2 linked regions of the Macaca mulatta genome follow. The protein of the gene in region 1 purifies or fractionates together with the protein of each later gene. This does not show direct contact. Links are inferred from orthologs where the notes say so. Each region holds a gene or a part of one and is shown on either strand. Other genes may lie near its edges.

Region 1 (4,132 bases):
GGCATATAGGGTAACATCTGCAGGATTAGGATTTGATTATTTTGGGGGAAGGAGGATTATTCTGCCTACCACAGACAGCTCTAATGCAACTTCCAACAGAATTTTTATTTATTTATATTATCCCCTAAAACTGCTGTCCCAAAAGGCTTAGCTGAGAACTATCATTCAGTTTTCATGAATGGAGTTGGAAAGTAATTGTTAGGAACATTGAAAAGATTAGGGCTTTATGTTTTTAAGTTCTCTCTCCAAATAATGTGGTCTAGTTAATGGCATTTCTAGGGATAATACTTATATACAGTTGCATTTTGTTTTGATTTCTTTATATGAAAAATATGTAGAAAGACCTTTTATCAGGAAAGTCCTTCATCCAAGCAGAATTTTGTTGTATTAATTGATTTTTGTAACTAAATTTCTTCACTTTCTTTTTTATTCATTTACTAGGTTTTTTAATTTTTCAGGAAAAAGGATTTCAATCTGAAATGTCTACAATAATACCTACCAATACAGAAAACCATTATTCTGAAAACTGAAGTCAAGATACCTAAATAAAGAATCGTTTGACAAAATTGCAGTGTAATTATATTTTCCTCTATTTTTTATTGCAGATAGCGGTAGTTCACTTTCTTTTATTGGCCTTTTTTTCTGCAAATAATGTCACTATAATTAACAGACATCTCATTTTTTTTTCTTTTTCTTTTTCTGTTGTGTTTATAGCTTAAGAAATGTATAAAAACTCCAGAAATCCCTTCTAAACATGTTAGGAACTGGGTCCCCAAAGTCTTGGAACAGCGACGACAAGGCTTGGAAACATACTTACAGGTAAGATATGTTTAGATCCTCCATTTTATATAACATAAATAATCATATGTCTCACCATTTTTTCTCAGGACATGTGGGTGCAATGCGAAATATATTAAGCAGGCAAAGAGTCTAAATTAAAGGAAAATTACAGATACGTTGTTGGTTGGTTCTTGTAGCTTTAATTAGGGTTCTATTTAAAATTGGCTCTATTCATTGGGGAAGTGAAATTTTAATAAAAAGGTGAAAACTGTTGAGGAGAGGATCTGTTTTTTAATTCAACTCTACAAATTATTTTGTTTTTTGCTTTTTGCTTTTCCTCCAAGAATTTTTTTGCTTCTTTATAGCAATCCCAGCCTTTATGTTTTGAGTTTTGTGGGGCTGATTGGGGTAGTGAGAGAAACTGAACTCACAGTGGGCCTGGCTAGTATATCTTTGGAATCAAATTGAAAAGGAATGTATAAAAATTGCCAATGATGAAGTGCCAACCTCTTTGAAAATTGGAATGTCCATTTAGAAAGAATGCACTGGGACACTCTTTTCTGCAGCTGAGAGGAGCAAGCAGAACTGCCTAAGTGAGATAGGACAAAGACCATCTCTCTACCAAGTGACAGAAGAAGCAAAAGGAGAAGGTAGAGCAGTATCAGCTTCTCTGAGTTTTAAAACAAAAAGAAATAGCGGCCCCAGGTGAGTACTCAGTGTAGTCATCATTAAGTCCAAAGAACACTGTGCAGGGCAGGAGCTGGGGTGGGCAGGCCCTGAGGTCAGCCGGTACCATCCTGCCACTAACCCTTCTTGGTGAGGCGGTAGGTGCCATCCTGCCACTAACCCATCTTGATAAGGGCCAGTGATATGGTTCTTCCCTGGCACCAGAGTCCACTGGAGAAGCGACACATGAGAATGATGGAGTGAACATGACTGGGGGCAGGGGAATCTTGGCTCTTTGAAACAAAAGAGCTGGACTCCCACCTAAGAGCTGTGAATTAATGATTGACCCATCTAAGACACGTTACATCAAACAAATGAGCAGCCCTGACTGTGTTCTCCCTTTGATATCTTCATGGCCCTTTAAGCATTAACCCTAGGGTGGATTCTGTTGAGGAGGGAAACTGAGAACTGTGGAGCTAGTGTGCCGTTTCTTCTACAGAGCTCTATGAATGGCTGTCCCTGAATCACTGGTGATGAGAAGCTGAGGGGAGGCCGACTCCTCAGGCTTGCGCTTAGTGAGAAATTCAGAGGACTATCTCTCAGTAGAAAGATGCCAGAATTCCGTTCCTGGCCCTTGTAGTTTTCCTGGTCTTTACAGTGCTCTAATAGGAAAGCTGACATGCAGAAGGCCCCTGAGGACATCTAAGGAGGGCTGTCTTTACTGTTTGCTCTTTTGCTTTTGGACTTGTTAGAAGAATCCTTCACTGTCTCTCTCTGGGGGTGAGAGCTTAAAGGAAATAGGAATTAACATCACAAGAATGTGTGTGGCCATGGTTTTTGAGACTGTGTATGAGGAGCTATGATCCTTCCATAGCTTCAGGCAACACTGCAGAGCAAAAAACAAACCAAAAAAAAAAAAATCAGACTTCAGAAAATTGTATGCAAAGAGTAAAAATGCATGTTCTCTATAATTAAATGGAATAGGTAAACAATGCATTCTTATTTGTAAGCCAGATTTTCCATGATGCTATATATCTTCAAACTTTAGTTCTGAAGAAAGTTCTACTCTGTTCCCCTCATTGTATTTGACACATGATTTCCATTACTACTCAGTATAAACATTTTAGGTTGTTTGTACTTCGGATGTAAGTATGTGCATAAAATCATCTGGCACAGAGAGGAGTTTATAGTGACACTCAAATTGAGCTTAGAATTTTCTATTCTCAGAAATAAGGTTTGAAAGATGTGGTCGAAGGGCTCAGAGGGCCCTTGCTTCCTGTTGTGCATTTAATAGTCAATTTGTTGTCACTTAATTCCTCCAGGAGTTCAAGGGAGCTTTCTTTTCCACTTGATTCTACTTGCAGGCAATGGGAGCTAGATGGAAGTTGCAAAGATAAGCCTGAACACTTTATTAATCTTAAATTAAATGCAAATCCTAGCCTAGCTGTCATATCTTGATCATTTCACGTCTCTTTAGAAGTAAGACAGTATTACTGTTTCTTTTGCTTGCTTACATGACACCAGCTAGAATCCATGCATGCTCAGGACCAGTCTGAAACCCAGGGAGTGGGTGCCACCAGCACTTTCTCATCAGGTACCATCCTGCCACTAACCCATCTTGGTAAGGGCCAGTAGTATGGTCCTGATCTGGCCCATGAGCCTAAAAATGTATTAATACCTCCAAGCCATAGCATCTTAAGTGCACAGGAAACTTAGATATTACATAGTCCAGCCCTTCAGCTATTTCACAGTCATCCCTCTGGCGTCAATTTCCCACCCATAAAACAGGCAGATCAGCTCTTGAGAGGGTCAGAGAAAACAACTCTTCCTGCCATCCAAGGGGCAACTAGTACATTCTGGACTATGGTTGAGTACAACCCCACACATTTCCTAAGGTGATTCCACACTGCTCTTTTATTTTAGACATGGACAAACTGAGGTCCAGTGGAATTAAAAATTTTGCCCCTAGCCGGGCGCGGTGGCTCACGCCTGTAATCCCAGCACTTTGGGAGGCTGAGGCGGGCGGATCACAAGGTCAGGAGATCGAGACCACGGTGAAACCCCGTCTCTACTAAAAATACAAAAAATGAGCCGGGCGCGGTGGCGGGCGCCTGTAGTCCCAGCTACTCGGGAGGCTGAGGCAGGAGAATGGCGTGAACCCAGGAGGCGGAGCTTTCAGTGAGCCAGGATCGCGCCACTGCACTCCAGCCTGGGCGACAGAGCGAGACTCTGTCTCAAAAAAAAAAAAAAAAAAAAAAAAATTTTGCCCCAATTCCTGCAATATATTAAAGAGTTGGGACTGGAATTTTAGTTTCCTAACATCCAATATGGGCTCCTTTCTTCATGTGTTGTGGATTTTTCTAAGTCAGGAGAAATTTTTCAACTTTGACATACAGCTTTACATAAGACTCTAATAGGTAAAGGAAAAGACCTTATAATCATAAACTATTACAGCCTAGTTGACTATCATCCCCCAACTCCCTGGATAAGTAGATAGATGATTTTTTAAATCAATAACTTGAATAGCAAAAACTATGCATATGCTTTCATTTTCTGTGCTATATTTAAGTAAGAGGCTAACTTAAAAACAAGAAAGGTCAAATTACCTATTTTCAAAATTAATTTTGTTCTATCTGAGATTTTAAACAAAGGAAACCCAACCTGTTTTGGCATCTGTACTTTTAAA
Region 2 (4,799 bases), about 27 Mb from region 1:
GACGGAGTTTTGCTCTGTCTCCAGGCTGGGGTGCAGGGGCACCATCTCGGCTCACTGCAACCTCCGCCTCCCGGGTTCAAGCGATTCTCCTGCCTCAGCCTCCTGAGTAGCTGGGACTACAGGCAGACGCTACCATGCGCAGCTAGTTTTTGTATTTTTTAGTAGAGACGGGGTTTCACCATGTTGGCCAGAATGGTCTCGAACTCCTGACCTCAGGTGATCCACTCGCCTCTGGCCTCCCAAAGTGCTGGGATTACAGGTGTGAGCCACTGCACCCGGCTGCGTTTTAGACCAGAATTTAACAGCAGATTTTAACTTAGTCAAAACATGCTTTAGAGTCACCAAAGGCGAACGATGTCTAATAGTGGTGATTTGGGAGTTGGGCACCCTGGGTGTTGGTTGTGCCTTAAAACTTCATGCTAAACTTTAGGGGAAGTCTCTTCCCCTCTCTCTTCAGTTATCTTCCGAGATGAACCCTATTACTAACCTTAATTACTTGATCACCTTTCAAAGGTGCAGTTAAAATTCTTCACATTTTTCTCTCATTTCTATTTAATTAATTATTTTTTTGAGAGAGGGTCTCTCTGTTGCCCAGGCTGGAGTGCAGTAGCGTGATCTAGTCTCACCGCAACCTCCGCTTCCGAGTAGCTGGGGTTACAAGTGTACGTCATCACACCCAGCTAATTTTTGTATTTTTAGTAGATACGGGGTTTCGCCATGTTGGCCAGGCTGGTCTCGAACAACTGACCTCAAGTCATCTGCCCGCCCCGGCCTCCCAAAGTGGTGGGATTACAGGCGTGAGCCACTGCGCCCGGCCCTCATTTCTATTTTAATTAAATTTTATTTAGGATAGGCTTAGCTTAAATGTTTACGACTGAGGTCTGACTTAAGATGATAGCATAAACCATGGAGCTTTCTTTTGTGAACATTACTATTACTCAACCCAATTTTCCCAGGTCAAATTTTGTAATACAAAATGTGGTCAAGATTTGATTCTCTGATCGATTTTTAGTAAAAAAGAAAAAAATTTCCGTGTAGCTTTAAATGTTGTCAATTAAATTTTGTAATAGTTACCTCTACTCTGTTCAGGTTAATACTGCGGTTTTCAACATGACCAACATACGATTCTTTGTTGTTGTTTTGGTGGGGTTGGGGGGCATAACAGTTTTTTCACTCTTGTTAAATTAATTTTCTGTTGATTCCATCTATCCCTAATCTTCACTATGAACAAGATACTGGGTTTTCTTCTGAAGATCAAAAGTGGTAGTGAGGCAATAATGCAAAGACGTAGGACGGCAGGGGGATTCCGGCTTCTTTCTTTTTTCCCCTCCTGTGGAAAGAGGGTCTATAACACTCCGTAGTAGAGAAGAAAATTCTAATTATGAAGGGTAATTAGCTAGGTTTTGCTATAACCGAGAGCCCTGAACGATTCCTCAACGCGGGCTGCTTTTCTCTTCCTCTCCACCAGAGGCGATAGCCTCTTTCCAAACAGAAACTGGGTTGGAATAGGCCGGTCCTGGGGAGCGGCCAGAAGAAAGATCAAAGGTTAAAAACCGCCTCAAAGAGCAAAGGTCAATACCCAACTCCTAAGGAGGCCTGACACGAAACATGAAGGTGACTCCTCCCAACATCGAGGCCTGGGGCCACTCAGCCTTCCAGAGACCCTGCGGGTCCGAGGCGAGTAACAGGTAACACCAGCTGAGCCGCCGCCGACCGGAAGTGGAAGAAAGCCCGGGGCGGGGTGAGGCAGGCCGCGGCACGCCTGCGCAGTCAGCAGGAGTTGCAGCGCTCATGCGCTACTGGGCGGTGACAGGGTGACGCTCGGAGCGTGGGCCGCGACTCTCACGGATCCGGTTCCGCCCTCTCGCTGCCGATCCTTCGGAGCGAGCGCCCCAGATCCCTTTCCCAGAGTGCTCTGCGCCGTGAAGAAGCGGCTCCCGGGGACTGGGGGCATTTTGTGTTGGCTGGAGCTGGAGTAACAAGATGGCGGCGTCGGCGGAGTGACAGGGGTCCCTCAGGGCCGGAGCCGGCGGCAGTGGTGGTAGCTGTATCGCCGCCCTAGCTCACCGCGCCCCTTTTCCAGCCCGCGACGTCGCCGCGCAAGCGAGGCAGCGGCGGCCGCCGAGAAACAAGTGGCCCAGCCTGGTAACCGCGAGAAGCCCTTCACAAACTGCGGCCTGGCAAAAAGAAACCTGACCGAGCGGCGGTGATCAGGTTCCGCTCGGCTGATTCTGGGCCCCGAACGCCGGTAAAGGCCTCCGTGTTCTGTTTCCTGCCGCCTTCCTCCGTAGCCTTGCCCAGTGTAGGAGCCCCAGAGGCCTCCGTCGTCTTCCCAGAGGTGTCGGGGCTTGGCCCCAGACTCCATCTTCGTCTCTCAGGATGGCGAGTAGCAGCGGCTCTAAGGCCGAATTCATTGTCGGAGGGAAATATAAACTGGTACGGAAGATCGGGTCTGGCTCCTTCGGGGACATCTATCTGGCGATCAACATCACCAACGGCGAGGTAATCACCTGGGGTGGGGTTCACGATAACGCTGCGCTTTTCCTCATTCCCCCCACCACCACCGCGCACCCCCAAAGTGCTCGGGCCTTTCCTCACCGCACGCACTCGCCAGGGAGTCCAGGGAGCTAGTTTTCCTGGCTTGCGATCCTCGCCCGCTCTCTCCCTAAAAGGGTCAAGAACCCGATAGAAAGGTTGGGGGAACTAGTTTCCCAGCTTGTTAAACACGTCCCATAAATGTCCCTTCGTCGAGCTGTTTTTTTTTTAACCGACTTTTAAGGTGGAAACGGCAAAATCCTCTTTCTGTGATTCCCATGCTTTGCTTTGCTTTTCTTTTATTTAATTTTTAATCCTACTGGGCCTCTTGTTCCAATTAGAACAGTTTCCGATTGCCTAGTTCCTTAAAAACCTCTCACTACGTTCAGAGGTTGCTTCTTTTTTCTGGATGAATCATTTTCCTGCACTTTAGAGGACGTACGATTTCGTCACTACCCCCTGAAGAGGCCTTTGAGGCTGGTTGCCTCGTTTTATAATTACAGAGAGCTTTCTCTTTCCAGCTTTTCACTTCTTCCTTGTAGTCGCGACTTGGAGTTTTGCTAATGTCTCTCTCCTTTCCTAAATGACACTGAATCCGTAGGGATGTTGATGCCATCATCCCCTCTTTCCCCTGCAGGAAGTGGCAGTGAAGCTAGAATCTCAGAAGGCCAGGCATCCCCAGTTGCTGTACGAGAGCAAGCTCTATAAGATTCTTCAAGGTGGGGTTGGCATCCCCCACATACGGTAAGAACCCCGTGCATGTAGGCGATCCGCTGAGGGAAGCACGGAATGGGGAAGTGGGTAGAGGCAGGTAATGAGACCAGCTGAATCCGGGTCTTGTTTTAGTTACCTGGGTTCCTTGTAGCTGGTGCCTTCCTGTAAGTCATCGCAATCACTGAGTAAATTTCAATTTGCCAACTTATTTCATTGTATTACACTGCTCCATTTCGCTTCCGTCATTCTCTTCCCGAGGCTTTCGTTTGCAGTTAGGCGTGCGGGTCATCTTTGATCCCTACGCGGAAGGGTTGGCTGCTGCCTTTTTTACGGCGGCACGTCTGATGTTCTTAGGTTTGTCCAGTGAAGTGGATTTGAAGGTGCTGAAGCGACCCGGCAGTGTCAGTTCGAGTTGCTATTGGAGCTGGCTTGGGAAATGGCTGCTCTTTTGTTGTGTTTTTGTTCCAACATGTCTTCCTCCTCCGCTTAGAAAATGGCGGAACGACGTGACTCAACCCCATATTCCTGCCCTTTTCTCAGCTTGGGTTCACAAATTATGCTTCCTTGATTCCTCCTTTAGCAGCCCCGAGTGGATTAAACCTTTGAAAAGCCAAGAATAAAGCTGCAGGAGGCGGTGTGGGGGTTCGAGGAAGGAGATGGCATAGTGACAATGTTTGTGATCTCTGCAGCAGATGTGACATGAAATTGTTGAATTATACTATGTAAAATCCTTTGTGGTTCTTTTAAAAGTGTTAATTACGCTTTCCTTTCGTGAATGGTCATATTTGGCACATTTCAGTCGGGACTAAATTTGTATAGGTAATGGCAAAGGCAGTTTGAGCAGCACCAACTATGTTAAAATTTACTCAAATCAATTGTATTAAAAGAAATCTTAATCACTTAGCCACACTTTGATAAGTAATTTTAACCTGTTGAGTTTGGCAGTAAATCTTAATATCAGAGAAATTGCGGCCTTTGTTGGTGTGGAATATTGGTGAGTGCAAATTGCAGTAACGAGGATAAAAGATGACGAGATAGAAAGACATTGTTCTGTCAAATGGTTAACTTTACTTTGGAGGGTTTTAGAGTAATGTTTTAACTTTTGGGATTAAAGAGCCTCTTCATGGAATGGAGACTAAAATATAGTTTAAAACCAAGCTATTTTTCAGCAACAATCTAAAATACCTTTTGCAAAAATATTCAGAATAGGTGAGAATGGTGTTTACTGTTTGCTGGAGACTCTTTTTTTTTTTTTTGAGACTGAGTTTTCGCTCTTGTCGATCAGGCTGGAGTGCAGTGAATGGCACGATCTTGGCTCACTGCAACCTCTGCCTCCTGGGTTCAAGCGATTCTAGTGCCTCAGCCTCCTGAGTAGCTGGGATTACAGGCGCCCGCCACCACACCCAGCTAATTTTTGTATTTTAGTTTCACCATGTTGGCCAGGCTGTACTCGAACCCCTGACCTCAGGTGATCCACCTGCCTCGGCCTCCCAAAGTGCTGGGATTACAGGCATGAGCAACCGTGCCCAGGTTTTTTTCTTTTGAAACGA

Evidence for each region. The genes of interacting proteins can lie anywhere in the genome.
Region 2: the proteins of SNX24 (region 1) and CSNK1A1 purify together in Homo sapiens (affinity purification with mass spectrometry; 4 studies listed by BioGRID and IntAct, counting the BioPlex papers as one, with this or other methods). This does not show direct contact. The link is inferred for Macaca mulatta from reciprocal best matches to the Homo sapiens genes SNX24 and CSNK1A1.

What each region holds. Positions count from the first base shown.
Region 1 is NC_133411.1:131,916,852-131,920,983, forward strand, and holds part of SNX24 (sorting nexin-24), read left to right. Parts: intron 1-714; coding exon 715-819; intron 820-1,315; exon of another isoform or gene 1,316-1,485; intron 1,486-4,132. UniProt on the Homo sapiens protein: May be involved in several stages of intracellular trafficking.
Region 2 is NC_133411.1:158,512,679-158,517,477, reverse strand, and holds the start of CSNK1A1 (casein kinase I), read left to right. Parts: upstream 1-1,892; 5' UTR 1,893-2,379; coding exon 2,380-2,502; intron 2,503-3,172; coding exon 3,173-3,279; intron 3,280-4,799.